Linked DNA regions of Styela clava. The protein of the gene in region 2 interacts with the protein of the main gene of each other region in a pairwise test. Links are inferred from orthologs where the notes say so. Each region holds a gene or a part of one and is shown on either strand. Other genes may lie near its edges.

The links. The genes of interacting proteins can lie anywhere in the genome.
Region 1: the proteins of spectrin beta chain, non-erythrocytic 1-like (region 2) and uncharacterized protein LOC120331932 interact in a two-hybrid assay, tested with the Homo sapiens proteins (2 studies listed by BioGRID and IntAct). The link is inferred for Styela clava from reciprocal best matches to the Homo sapiens genes SPTBN1 and SH3BP5.

Annotation. Positions count from the first base shown.
Region 1 is NC_135255.1:7,746,493-7,754,594, reverse strand, and holds the start of uncharacterized protein LOC120331932, read right to left. Parts: upstream 3,113-8,102; 5' UTR 3,027-3,112; coding exon 2,976-3,026; intron 1,183-2,975; coding exon 991-1,182; intron 653-990; coding exon 465-652; intron 214-464; coding exon 63-213; intron 1-62. Other genes in the region: leucine-rich repeat-containing protein 51-like, read right to left, coding at 5,814-5,964, 6,322-6,470, 6,858-6,993, 7,364-7,511, 7,830-7,942. UniProt on the Homo sapiens protein: Functions as a guanine nucleotide exchange factor (GEF) with specificity for RAB11A and RAB25. Inhibits the auto- and transphosphorylation activity of BTK. Plays a negative regulatory role in BTK-related cytoplasmic signaling in B-cells.
Region 2 is NC_135262.1:2,863,776-2,870,783, reverse strand, and holds the start of spectrin beta chain, non-erythrocytic 1-like, read right to left. Parts: upstream 3,058-7,008; 5' UTR 2,941-3,057; intron 1,619-2,940; 5' UTR 1,589-1,618; coding exon 1,547-1,588; intron 1-1,546. UniProt on the Homo sapiens protein: Fodrin, which seems to be involved in secretion, interacts with calmodulin in a calcium-dependent manner and is thus candidate for the calcium-dependent movement of the cytoskeleton at the membrane.

The DNA of each region.
Region 1 (8,102 bases), on a different chromosome or scaffold from region 2:
ACGTGATTGATTTATTTCTACAAGCACAACTAAATCATGAATAAATAGGTGGAAAATTTTACTTGCAAATCAACTTCAAGAAGTTCTTTCAACTCAAAGTAAGGTTTTGTTTTCTTTGTTGAATTTTTATGTTTTCTATGATGTGCTTGTAGCTTGCCGTCGAGGAATTGAAATCTTTTGGTCGCTCGTTGATGAAGACTTTCGCTTCGAGTTCTGAGATATATTTTAAGAAAAAGTTGGAGAATTTATGAATATCTGAAATATGAAATGTGTAACTGACTTGTACACGAATTTTTGGTTGTATTTTGTGTCGAATATTGACTGGGAACAGTCAAATTATTACAAATTGAAACAGAAATAAATTGTCAATGATATAGATATTTTATCCGATATTTCACAAAATAGTTTGAATAAATGATTCATAAACAATAACTTCCAAGTTATTATAAATATAATATAATTACCTGTCCCTCTCAGCATCCATAAATCTTATAGTTTGAAGATTTAACATTTCTTGCCAAGCCATATCGACTTTTTTATCGTCGAGTTCGCTCAAGCGACTTTCCGCTAAAGCGATTGTTTCTTTTGCCGCTCGATAAACTCCATTTGCTCGTTGAAAATTATGAACAGCTCTTTGAAGTGCTAACTGCGCCTATGTGACATATAAGAAAAAACGAATTTCCATATTTGCTACAATCAATTTCCGTGTTGCAAAAGTAATATCATGATTTTGTTTAAATTCAGAATTTTAAAAGCTTAGTAACTTTGTTTGTAAATTGGCATAGCGTGTTGTACTTGTACGTCAAAGATTAGGCCAAGAAATTCACTGAATTTATTTTGATATAACTTGTATAATATTTCTACTTTTAACAGATTATATACTGGGTGATTTGAAAGAAGAGAACTATTTTGTTAGGAAATATCATAATCGGTATAATTCGACATATCCCTTTGAGCCACGGATTCAACAATTGACTGGCCATAGAGTACCTGAGAAACTTGTGCCTTAGTTTCATAATACGGTCTTGCTCGTTCAATAGACTTGCCATATTTTTTCGTTAATTTTTGCAGCTGTTGTGTCGCACTAGCGAGAGATGCCTTGAACTTTTCTCGATATTCATTCAGCTCTGTTTCCAACTTATTTATTTCATCAGTAGACTGATTAAGAGTGTCAAGCTCTCCCTGAAAGTGGAATTACACAAATACTATCATTGTTAATTATCGAAAAAACGAAAGAAGCAAGGTATTAAATATATTCAATATGCCCACGAACAAACGGTTGAAAAAAGTTTGAAATAACTACTGCTCGCTGTTTAGAATATCGGAAATTGTTAAAAAAAGACCGTCATCCTGAGCGAAAAATGTGATAATTTCCATTGCTCACACACTCTTTGGCTTCAGGCATCAATACGCCATCAAATTTCAATTAGGTAAAAAACACGTCCACAATTATCACAAAATAAAAATAAAATCACGATTTTTTTTCACAGTGTATAACTTTTTTCTGGAAGGATAAAATTACTAATCACGTTACGGTTTATTTAAATGCCGAACTACTTTGGTCCTGACTGTTATTTCATAAACCACGGAGACCACAAAAGTACAGATACTGGTACCGTATATAATGTGTGTGCAAATTCAGAAGTATATTTTTCCTAAGTCGGTATTAAATTCTATTTTAATGATTTTGCGTATTATTGTAACTTCATTATTTATTTAGATCTTGCTGTGTTGAACCGTATGTCAGCTTCGACTACGAACATCGGGTTAAAAGTGTCATTCGAATGATTTTCCCACCAATTATCGACAATGGAAATTTATTGTAGGTCAGCAAAATAAAATGATGGTGGAAAAAATAAACCCGCTTTGAATGTACTAAATTTATATATGTACTAACAATACTTGAACTAAAGTTCTGAGTTTGAGGGCAGCAATGTTCTCACAAATGAGTTTACGCAAAAAATCGCTGTCGATGGCGTCACTGTGGTTATTATAATCAAGTAGTAGATAGGAATGGCTCACGTAATTCGCGTTTTTTTTTCGTCTAAAACAAAAAAAAATGACTGAATTTAGCGTGAACCGAAAATTAATCTTGCGACTCGATCGTATTCCCAGGAGAGATTTTGCCGAGATAATTTCTTTTCGGTAAAATCGGGCTAATCTACAACAGCATTATTAAGCGCAGGTTCCAGGAGAAGTAAAATCCGTGCTTTTGTTTTGGCTTCTGAATGATTGATATGGTGTCAGAACGATGACATCGAGATGTCAAGCATAACTTTCAGGTGAAAATTTATTCTCTCTTCACCAATGAAATATTAAATTTTATTATCTCATTCTCTTTTTATTTATTTAATATTATGGAATTATGGGGGAATTCAAGGGCAATTATCGATTTTCTATAAAATTAGCATTTGCTAAAAATGTGTTATTGAAAAGAGGACTGGAATGTGGCATATTATATTCATTTGTGAGTGCTATTGTCGAAAAGCATATATCGACAAAATTATATTTATTAGAACATGCGTAACCGCACAAAAATCAGAAAGTTTTTAGGCAAAAATTATTCAGATGTAATTGGAGGATACGAATACATTTATCACCCCAAAATCCAAAAAATGAGTTGGATAAAAAATGTTTTAAGAAACAACCTAATTTACTGTATACAAAATATTTTGTTAACGATGAAACGTGAATAATATATAAAATATACTTTTATAGAATTGAACATGAATCATTTCTCGAATAAGGTGCTTTTCAAGACCTTTTCAACCTACTGTAGCAAGCGTTAATTTCCGCTCAGTCAGAAACATCTATCATACTAAATCACTCGACCACACCGAATATAGAATATAATATTTCATTCTTTTCTGATCAGTTAGGTTGGAATTCAAATAACTATTTTGCTCGAGTTAACGTAAAGCTAGATTTATTAAGTATTCTATCAATTTGTAACTATCAATTTGAATATTACGAACCTTTATTCTTGGATCAATTTCATCATCAAAAACATCATCTTCCTCAGACATATTCCTTTTTGATACCTTGTCAAATATTTGCCACAATGCATTAGTTTGAATTAGAATAATTGATTTTTCAATTAGTTAGTGAACCTAATAAGAAACTGTGCATTTTATGCCTTTTCAAGCAACTCTTTGTCGCCCAGATGCGACTGACATAAAAAAACGCCTTGTCGCTATCTATTTCGGCTGTTTAGATTCAGCATATTGTATGTGGATTGTTTTTATTTACGGATTTTTTAACCTTGTGAAACAATAATGTGAGAAAAATCTTGGTGATGTGTTTTCTTTCTTGTAACAACGCGCTTATCTAAGCTTTGAGTAACTCAATTGATAATACTAGTAATAATGAGATCGAGAAATATTCTGCATCCATTGGGGCTTGAATCTATTGTATAACTAAAAACTAATAATATAAGTAATGAAAAACAACTGTTACAACAGAAATAATCCCGTTAACAACAATAGTTACAACACTGTTTCTGTCGTATATACATACTCCTTGCTGAATTTGTTTAATCGAGGTGTTGCAGTCCAAGTGAGACCCGTTCTTGGCATAGCGAAAGTATTTTATCATTGCTCGGAAACAATACAAACACTATGATGTTGATGTTAATCAGTAACCCAAATGCATTCTCGCACCTGGTACAAGCACACTCCTTTGCAACGATTACCCTTCGTATTGCAGTTTCATTATGAAATAGAGCAGATATTTCACGCTTGTTCAATCATGACATGTGCTTATCTACAACAAGCGACCGTACAAGATCAGCATATATGTATATTCTTTTAATTTAGGTATATCATTTATAGTTAGTCTGTATATGTACCCGAAAATATCTTTTTGGATGCGCAAAAAAATGATGGAATTAATAATGGTGTTTCATATCAAAATTACAACTGGCGCAAAATATTCCAACATTTATATTAACAAGCTTTTTATTTGCCGGAATTAGGGATACTTAATTCGCAAACTTAGCAGCATCTTGCCTAAAAATGTATACCCTATATACAAAATAATGAAAAATGATTTCGGAATTGTAGGCCTGCTGTGATGCTTACTTCTCTATCATTGTGCGCCAGGGAAAAAATGTGAGAAGAAAAGATCTACACTATTAATGGCAGTGTAGAATTCTGAAGTAAGTAAAAGTTTGAGTTATGAAATAGAAGAAATGTACTATGATGCTTGAATGCTCACCGGAGTTAGAGTTGACTGATAAAATCTGAATGCTCAACAGAAAAGAAAATGCAATGTACTCTGTAACGTGATGTAATAATACTGGCGACAAACAAAGAAAACACTATATAAACAATATAAATCTGATAACATTTGTAACACTGCTCAAAGGTGAAATTTATATTATCGCCAGTTGGCACGCAAACTGAAAGAAAAGCAACATTCATATGACTACGTTTAGATTCGATACATTTTGACACAATGCCAAAATAGGTATTCCTAAAAATCACCCAGAATTATATTCAACCACACGAATCCATTACCATCGGGATGTGCATCATTTACGCTAGACACATAAATGCAAATTTTCTAATTTGTATCAACCAGGCATTTCCGTGAGAGACCTTCCCATGGGATGGGACAGGCATAACTTGCAATGTGATGGGACAAAAAATTTATGTCTCATGGGAAACGTCGCATGGTATAGAATTGGTCAGAAAATATGTCCCATGGACAAGTTTGGTATAAATATTTGATCAAAAGTGACCTCGAAAAGTGAGTCCACCAATAGTCAATGTCAGTATGTTCCCCAGCTTTTCTCTTTAGGGGGGGGGGGGGGGGGGGGTGTTTCAAAATTTAGGGGGTGGTAAATAATTTGCTATTAGAGATAAAACTAGGCTATTTGTATTCTTAAAAAAATGGTATGTATTTAGGAAATGATGTACATGGGGGGCCCCCCAAGTTGATTGACGGCGAGCCAAAATCCACAGCAGAATGAAATTGTAGGGCCAGAAAAGGGGAGCGAGGAAAAATGCGGGACGACACGGCTGGGGGAAAATTTTGAGAAATAGGCACCAAAATATGCTCTAAGCTTGATTTTAGATACACCTAGCATCGCAGTTTGTTATGTAATAAAATCAATTATTATAATATTTAGCTGATAGAATAAATAATTCAATTGTTACGAAATAAACGTGCTTAAACTGTGATAATGATGTAACAATAGACGGTATCTAAAACTCAAAAGGTACCACATGAAGTGTTAAACTATTTCACTCAAGTTCGGCGGGCCATTTTAAATCGTCACGCGGGCCGTAATTGACCCGCAGACTGCGGTTTAGAACCCCTCAGTGTGGAATCGCACCTCAAAATTAGGGGGGGTGTTTGAAATTTTAGGGGGGGTGTTCACCCCCTATAGGGGGGGTGTAGGGAAATCACTGGTCAATGTTGACTTAAGCCAGATGAAGTGCAGAACCATATGCAGAGAAGAGCTGACTGCGGGCTAACAAGCAAATATTCCATGGTACATAATGCACAAACCTTCTATCGCATAGCCATAGAACAATACGCAAAAATTCGCGAATAAAAAACACATAATTTGTTGTGACTGATCAAAAATTCAGGGCTATTGGGTACAGCCAACTAGGTTAACCACTTTCTAATAACAGGCGTGTTGAAGCTTGGGAGATGGTATAATTTCTGAGTTCAACAGTGAGTTCTACCTATGACTCACTCTAATGAAATTTTGTAAAAGTTTTGGACTAGCTATACATAAAAGAAGAAATAGTATCAAAGTAAGAAGCAGTGGAATTGGCCTTGGACAATATCTTGTTCTTTATTCATGCTTCGGCCGCTTTTGGTTTCTTTTTGTGAGTAGTTGATTCAATGAGCTTCAATTTCCTCCAAACTTGTGCTTTGTCCCTATCTGCTTTTGTTATTCGACTGAAATCGAAATACTGAAGTTGCGGGATTGTCATTATCACATATTGCCTGAAAATAAATAAGGTATAAGTTGTTAGGGAAAGCAAAAAATTATGAAGAAAAACGCATAGAAATAATGCGCGATTTCAAATTTCCAATTCGTGGTTTTAACAATGATCCAATGTATAAAACAAACTTCAAATGAGTTGTTTCTAAAATGAATTTGTTTAAACTTCAGAAATATGTTTCAGGGATAGGACGAAATTAGGTGATACGGTACACATCTGTTCTCCAACATGGCGATCTCACTCTGCCGTAATGATAGTTATATAAGTCATACTTGACGAACGGGTCACATAAATGAATGGCAGATATTAACTACCTAGAGGCACTACCTAGAGAGTGCGAATAACCATAGCAATATACCTGTATCCTTTCTTTCCCTCAATCATATTTCCGTGCAGGGTTAAAGTTTTGAGATGAGGAAGTGCAGCTAGTTTATCGACTTGTTTCAGATCATCAATGTAATTCGCATGAAGGTAAAGAACTTTCAAATTTGGATATTCTAAGATAACCTGAAAAATGTTATTCATTGTAAAAGTGGATTCAGATATATTAGAAAATATTTGGTTATATTTGAATATATAATTAGAAATTTGTATCAAAGTTTCGAACGGAAGGAATAAAAATATAAAATAATTTCAAAAGAAAATGATACAAATCATGATACAAAAAAGAAACAAGGCAAAATCAAAGATTTGTAGCAACGAAGGAAATGAATATTGAAATGACACAAATGACAAATATTTTGTAACATCTAATCAGATACACATTATACTTTAATAAAAATATATATACATTTGAAAAGTAACCTTGGTGTCAATGAGCTACTTATTTATTTACTTGTCTTCGAAACTTTGTAGATTCTGATAACAAAATTTAACATGACTTATTTAACTCACGTTATCAATCTTTGTTAAATCATTGAATGACAAGTCGATCCATTCAATCGATTCTGGATCTTCAAGAACTGCCTGTAATCCGCTGCTGAAGTTCTCAAGTCTAGCTAGTGAGTTGTTCCCAAGCTTTATTGCTTTGCTAAATAAATAACCAAAACAATCGTATATTTTTATTGTGAAGATAACTGATATATACTATCGATAAACAACGGGTTGAACGTCAAGAAATATATTTTTTGATGACTTACAAAAACGAAGTCAGTTTGGTAAACTAAACTAAACAGACAGATCAAATTATATTCTATAGCAATTAGATGATGTATTTTCTCCAGGCAGTGTATAAATGAACGAGAGTTGTAACATTGGTGGAGATGAGAATGAGACCTTCAACATTTATTTCCTCAACACCATAAACACTCCGTTGATATCGTCTTTTGGATTTTATTCATATGCAGAATATAATATATAGAATAAACTTACAAAAAGTGCAAACAAAAATACATATATACCTGCAATATTTATAAAATTGTCTTGGCTCATCATTCTTTTTGTCATTGTCCTCGGGAAACAAAGGTACTTCGTCATTTTCATTCTTTCTTTTAACTTCAATTTTTACGTATTTATTAGGTCCTTCGCGTGGATCAACTTTGCATATATCTGAATCAGATTTTATACATCATATTTTGATTAACTTGGATTAATTAACTAAGTGTACCCGTAGCATTTGACTGGGGAATTACAATTTTGTTGACCTTATTTCTTCCCCTAAAGTCATCCCAGGCGTGTTGAGATTTGGGGTTTAAATTCATAAATATATTAATAATTTGGAAAAGCCGGATTGAAATACCTTGTCGTCCGTGTTCACTTAACGGTTACTTTTTTATAACATTATAATGAGCTAATAGTCGACACAACTCGCAACTTTTAATTCCATGTCATGAAAGAAACAATATAAGAGATATCGCTAATGCTCACCTGTTACAGCTCTTAAATCTCTGAAGGTAAAATCCACCGGCGGACCCGACTTGTGTGCGACGTCCATATCTTCTTCAGGTTGCATATTGGCCAATATCTCGTGTAGAGCTTGCCTAAATTAGAAAAGATAATGCTTATCAATTGTACGCTACATCAAGTATGGCAATATGAAACACACTCCGTGAGTAAGTTTGCCCCGTGGTGCGTGCGTGATCAAATTCAATTACCACAGTAAGTCAACATTATAATAGAGTAAATTTGAATGGTTTTAAA
Region 2 (7,008 bases):
TGATTGATGATACAAGTTGCTTCAAAACGAACCAAAATGTATATGCTCTCTAAAGCAGTGGAAATTAGCCAGTGGGACGCACCCCAAAAGAGGGGCGTAGACAATATTTTGAGGGGGCATGTGGCTAATTGAAATAAAATTATTTGTTAAATTTGATCTTGCCCGCCTTATTTTGTCTATTTACCTTACTTTTTCTCATTCTGGATATTTAAATGTTCTATCCACATATCTTCAACGTGTTTTTCGAACAAAACATACTTTCTAACTGTTATTTGTAATTGTAGCTTATTGTTAGCTACCGGTAGTTATTTTTGAGGTGGGGCGCGAGACTTAAAAAATTCTAAAATTTATATGTGGGGCGGCCTAAAATGTTTGAGAACCACTGGTCTAAATTTGGGGCTCCCGAAGTCTGCGAACCAAGATGGCGGACATCGGAACGTAACATGGGTAACAGGTTAGGGCTAGGCGATAATTTTTCTCCAATTTTCCTTATTTTAGTCCTATTATCCGTTCGAAGACTAGCCAAGAGCCTCCCGTAGCATTTATACCTAAAATTATGGCCTAACCCTAACCTAGTACACATATTACATTCCGATGTCCGCCATCTTGGTTCGCATACTTCGGGAGCCCCCTAAATTTAGTATATTTGATTTGATAAACTCCTTAGTTTCTTTACCGTAAATATTTGGAATATTTATTAACGGCATGGACACCAAAAGCAACAAACGAGCACACCCAAACCATGACAGCATATGAAGATTATGATTACTTGCTCTAATCCAGGGTCGTTCAACATATTTTGTCGTCGGGGCACATTGGAACCTCAAGTTGGGCCACACAAAAAAATTAGTATTCCATATGAATTCCGACAAAAAATTATCACAATGCAATATTTAACCCAGTGACAAGACAATTTCTATTCATGTGAGTGATTAGGATTTTATGCTTGATGAGGAAAAATCTAAGTGTTGACAAGGCTCACACTAAATGACTCGGCTTCAGTTGGCGGGTCAGTTGTTGGCCCGTTGGCCACCTGTTGCACACCCCTGCTCTAAGCGAACCAAAAACTGGAATATATTCAAAATTAGTTATGTTCTAAAAAGTTAATTCTTGATATTAAAAATGATTAGATATATTTTAATTTTAATAATGTGATTCTACATACCGTAATTGAGATTAGAAATTCCTGGTTTGCTAATTAGATAATTAAGTTCTTATAATTGTGGAAAACCAATCAATAAAACCTCCGCTTCATCATAACTTGTTTTTTCACTACAAAATCAATAATAGAATCAATATTCTGTTGCCGTGCTTATGACGAAATTCAAAAATACAAAAAGTATTCAAAATAGTAAATTATTTTCTTTTAGCATATTTACTAGAAAAAAAATGGATAAAAAATTCTAATGGAAGCCCAAAGTTTAAACTTGCAATGTCTTTTAATGTGAATTTATGTTAGACTAATGTCACCCTTAGCAGAAGCTGACATTACTATGACATCACAACGAAGCATGCGAGATGATATTGTGACACAACAAAAACTTACTTCTCTTTCAAACGGCTCCATCTTGGCTAAAGAAACAGACATTTTATGGTTTTAAACAATTCCTCGTGAGAGCTTGCAAAATTAAAAATTAAAGAAATCAATATGTTATAAAGAAATATTGTATCTAGTAGTGAGACTTCTTGAACACGGAATTTGTCTTTCTAGATAAGATAATCTGTTAGTCTAATAATGCATTAATTACATATCTTTACTCTGAGGTAAGGTGAGGTGAGTAGACACCGATTATATAGATATCCTTGTTTGAGTGAAGATATAAAAAAAACTCCTATAAATGTAATAGGCTATATCAAATATTGTAAAAAATTATAGTATGTTTCCAAGCACTCACACATAAGAAACTCCTAAGAAAGCAAAGAAATTATGAAGAACCCAAGGTATATGAACTACTGCTCAAATTTTTAAAAAATGTTGCCTTCAACATGAAAATTGAATCGATTAAGTAAAAATTAGTAAATTAAAAATAATGATTACCGGTATGTAAAATCCATGATCATTCAAGTGTTCAAAAGTAAACAAATTTTCATAAATTCCATAAATTATATCATAATTTAAAAAACATGGAATAATAATTGTATAATTGATTTATGATATTATAGCAATTGAAAATACTTGTTCTAAATCTAAAGTACATGAAATATAATTAACTCAAGTAGACCGCAAAGTACTCTCTTTGACACCAGATAACTCTCGAGTGTTGCAAATATTGACAAACTATATCCGGACACACCTATGTCTGCCGTCTAAACGGTATATCCAAATAAAAAGCTTGTATCAATGGCTATTTATTAAAGAATGTGTTATAAGAAATTTAGAAACTTTTTGCTTATTAAAAGTCTAGTTAATAAAAATCTGGTTCTTCTATTATTAATAATGATGCTTAAAGTGCACAACACGTCCTCTTGAAATTTTTTCATTAAAAATTTGAACATTTTTGATGGTTAGGTCCTGAAAAAAGACACGTTTTCAATTTCAAACTGAACAAAATTTACTCAAAAAAAAGAAATTCTGATAGAGGTGTCGAGAAATTCAGTTTCGAGAAATGTGTGAAATAATTGGAAAATAATTTATTATCGAAATAATATAAATTTAAGAATCATTCACTTTTGTTTGGCAATTTAATTTAATCAAATTTGAGCCATTTTGTCCCTATAAATGGGACCTTAATAGTAAATGAGTCTTCATTGTTTTAATAATTGAATAAAACAATTGAAACCTTCTTGCATTACAAAAAAAAATGAAAATTACACTGAAATTAAACATCATGATAATCATGATAATCTTCATTAATATTCAAAAATAATGAAAAACGAAATTTAGAGCATAGTCAAATAATCATAAACTATAACTAAATGAATCTTTAAAAATGTCCTCACCTGCTTAGCTCTTCACAAAAAAGTGCCACCTAGTGTCAAAGAATCCAGAAGATGACGAGATGAAGAAGTATTGCTTTACAACCAAGCTAATCAATTGTATTTTCATACACTAACATTTAAAACTGAAAGATATAAGAATTTTAGTACTTAGATGAAAAAGATCGAAAAACAGGCATTTTGGGAAAAATTTAATACCGACAATGCAATAAAATGAGTTTTAGAATCTCTTTCACCATCAAAGGCACAAAAACAGACTCAGAAATGGAAATCTCATACAAAGGAAAAGCAGCAAATGAATACTGTCTAAATCAGGGTGGTCCAAACCCAGGCCCAGCTTCATTATCTGTGGCCCGCATCATATTCTGAAAGTAATCAAGAAATCGCACTCCGTGTTGTTTTGTCATAAAATTAATCAGAAAAACCTTTTGACATATTGTTACATCAATAATGTCACTGAATGGACTAGTGTTATGGCTATCTGAGGCAACTAGCGAAGTTGAATGATGTGCTTGGCAGTCTAAATTATTATCTGGCTTTCTATCTTTTTGGTTGGGAATATATGCTTACAATATAGGCATCATAGAAAACTAAAAATCGAATGCGGATTCTATTAGCCCGGAATGGCTATGTCTGATAACTATGTGTTTGCACAATAAAGTATTCGATTTGTATTGCATTGTTTACCTATTCTTGGCACTATTGTGGCCCGCGAACAATGCAGAAATAATTTTGTGGCCCGCAGAGCCGACAACTTTGGAAAACCCTGGTCTAAATGATATTTCATTACATTGCAAAATGCTATCTCTGACATGGGTAAAATACGGCACACGGGCCAAATTCAATCTGGCCTGCCTGATGCTGCCACAATCCAACAAAAACCAAATTCTGATGTTTTAGCTAAAAAAAATAGCCCAAAGAATTTGTTGTGATTGCGATTGAATTTAGTTTGGGCTCAAATTGAGTACCAAATATGGTGCTCCCGAAGTATTCGTATCAAAATGGCGCACAACCTGAGCATAGTATGTGTATCAGGTTAGGGTTTTCAGGTTGTGCGACTTCTTGGTACAAATGCTTCAGGAGCGCCCCAAATATATTATAAGCTTCCATCTTTCTCAAAATGAATGCAAAAAATATTACGTTCCACCTTGCAGAATTGGAACTGCTTTCCTAAAAAATAAATCTCAAATTTATTAGTGTAGAATGTTCAGACACCTTAATTGAGTGAACCTTGTCTAGACAAATTTGTAAATATTTACACGAAGATGTTTTCTTGTTTACATTCGTGCGATCAAAAAGATTTAGGAGATTTTATGGATCACCTCACACCCATGGCTTTAGCTAACAGAAATTTTTACATTTAAATTGATCAATATACAGTATTGTGAGCATACAGGAAAAGATTTACTGCAAAACAGCCCTTCAACAGTGAATTTATAAAAATTCGCATATAAGCTGACCCTACAAATCATAACACGCTGCACCTACCACAAAAAAACGGTTGTAGAAGAGAATTACTGAAAATGATAACCATTATTCTTATGTTTAACTTTTATCAAGTTATGCGCTCTAAGACCCCTTTGTTTGGCAACTTTTTTTTTAGTTTAAACTCTGCTTATATGTGAGGATATATAGATAAATAAAGAATTTTACAGCGCTCCCGAAATATGTGCACAACCTGAACCCTAACCTGGTACACATACTATGTTTAGGTTGTGCGCCATCTTTGTGCACATACTTCTGGAGCTTCGAAAATTATACATTCCAGTCAGCTACCGGTATATAATTATAATAAAAAAATAATAAAAAGTAGAGATACTAGAATACCAAACCCCCAAAAATGTAATTGTACCATTGGTTAAAAAAAAAATTGGCATACATCCAAGTTAATCCAACCACAAACATTAAAAATATGAAAATGAAAAAATACATTTTATAGGCACATCCCATGCAGCAGCGCTTAAAATCAAGTCTACTGTTTATATGGTATTATTAAGCCCTCTAAAGAGTTTTACTCAAATGGTGATTGGAACTATATATCCATTCCTATTCCTAACTTGTCGACAGCCCAATAACCATTCACAGAACGGGAGACATTGAGATATAAATTGGGACCATATCCATTCTTATGAAAATGAAAAATAGAACAATCCTCAAATCAACTGCATGACTTAGTTCTATAACCCTACTTTTTACAATTTGAATATAAATTTTACATTCCATAATAAATGACATGATAGACTTTTAAATTCCATCTAGATGAACAGAGATATTACAGACACATCTTGAGAGATAATTACAGCTTTATATAAGTCTTAACATATCATTATAAGTCTAACATATCATTATAGCTTATACAATTCATATCAAGAAAAACAGAAAATTGAGGGCAATTTCAGTGTAAATATGAGCAACTAATATTCAGACATTTTGCAGCGATTTCCTATAATGATGGCCATGTGGTTAGAGCAGTGGTTGCGAACCTTTTTGGTGAAGCTCGAGTCCAACTCCAGAATTTCATCCTAATTTATTACACTCTTGAGGTGGCGACATGGGATTTGGACCTGAAATCTGCCCTTTCACAATTTAACAGCAATACCTGAAGCCTTTTCTGCAAAAATAATACCAACAAGAATTCACTTCAAAATGATCATTATCAAACTTTAATTTTAGTCTGTTTGTGCCTGAAGCAGTTTTGTGGTAAATTTCGATGTAACTTGATACTATATTTTACAAAAAGCATAACTTGTTACCGATAAGCTTCAATCTCAATACTGAGAAGTAAAGGAGTATGGCAAAGCTAAACGTTTCACGGAATAAAAACATGAAAGAAAACTGTAAAATATTATGGTCTAACCCTAACCTACGCTAACAACGGAAGTTCCGAAAATTTGAACTCCATGAACCTTAGTTTACGCACGTAATATATTGACAGACTCCCGAAATTAACCGACAATGACAATCTCGTTCTTTTCAAAATCAAAACCATGCAGATACACACACTCGCCACACAATGAACCATCTTATTCATGTGTAAAATTATCCTTTTATACGCATCGTACGGCTCACTGCTTCACAAAAACGAAACATGACAATTACTATGTAGAAGAAATCACAATAACAGCGCGAATACAACGATTACGACATCACTTCGACTGAAATTTGCAGAAAAACAAAAGATTTAAATCAGTGAAGCGTAAATGAGAGTCCTTCAGAAAATTAATTCCGGATAATAAAATACCGATGAGTAAAATTGTTAAGTAAATAGAATTGGCGATTTTAAGAAAACTGAAGTGGAATAAATGCTCACTTATAAAAATAAAACAAAAATAATTAAATATCATTCAGACTTCAGAGATTCCTTTTTAAAACTGGGGATGATGGATTAGGAATACTCATATTTATCCCAGATACGGAAAAGTCAACAAGACAGCTTAATCATAATATGTCAGGCATGATTCCTTGTTTGATTGTCAGTTTAAGTCAGTGTCAGACAGAATATTCTGAATCGAAACCAAGTGTAATAATTCTGGTATTTGACTTTCCGTTTTAAATTGATTAAGTTTGGACTTGTCAACTGAGCTAGATAAGATATAGTGAATGAGTATTTCATATCCCATCTTAAGATGAGAAGATATTTGTCATTGCAGCAGACTTATATTGAAATGCTGATGGCTTTCTACACTATCAAGTCCATGCAATTTAAAAAGTAACAGGCTAATGATTCCCTTACCCAATATAGACTGACAAATGTACAAGAGATCATGGTTTGGCATATCATAATGTCAGTTAGTCATATCATCAACTTTCCTCTCCCATAAGATAAAAAAAAACTATTCCATAAAATAAAGACTTGCATGCTTTAAGTTAAAGATAGGTAAAATGGTGCTCCTGAAGTATGGGAAGCAAGATTGCGGACATCGGAACGTAACATGGGTAACAGGTTAGGGTTAGGCGATAATTTTTTTCCAATTTTCCTTATTTTAGTCCTATTATCAGTTCGAAGACTAGCCAAGAGCCTCTCGTAGTATTTATACCTAAAATTATGGCCTAACCCTAACCTAGTACACA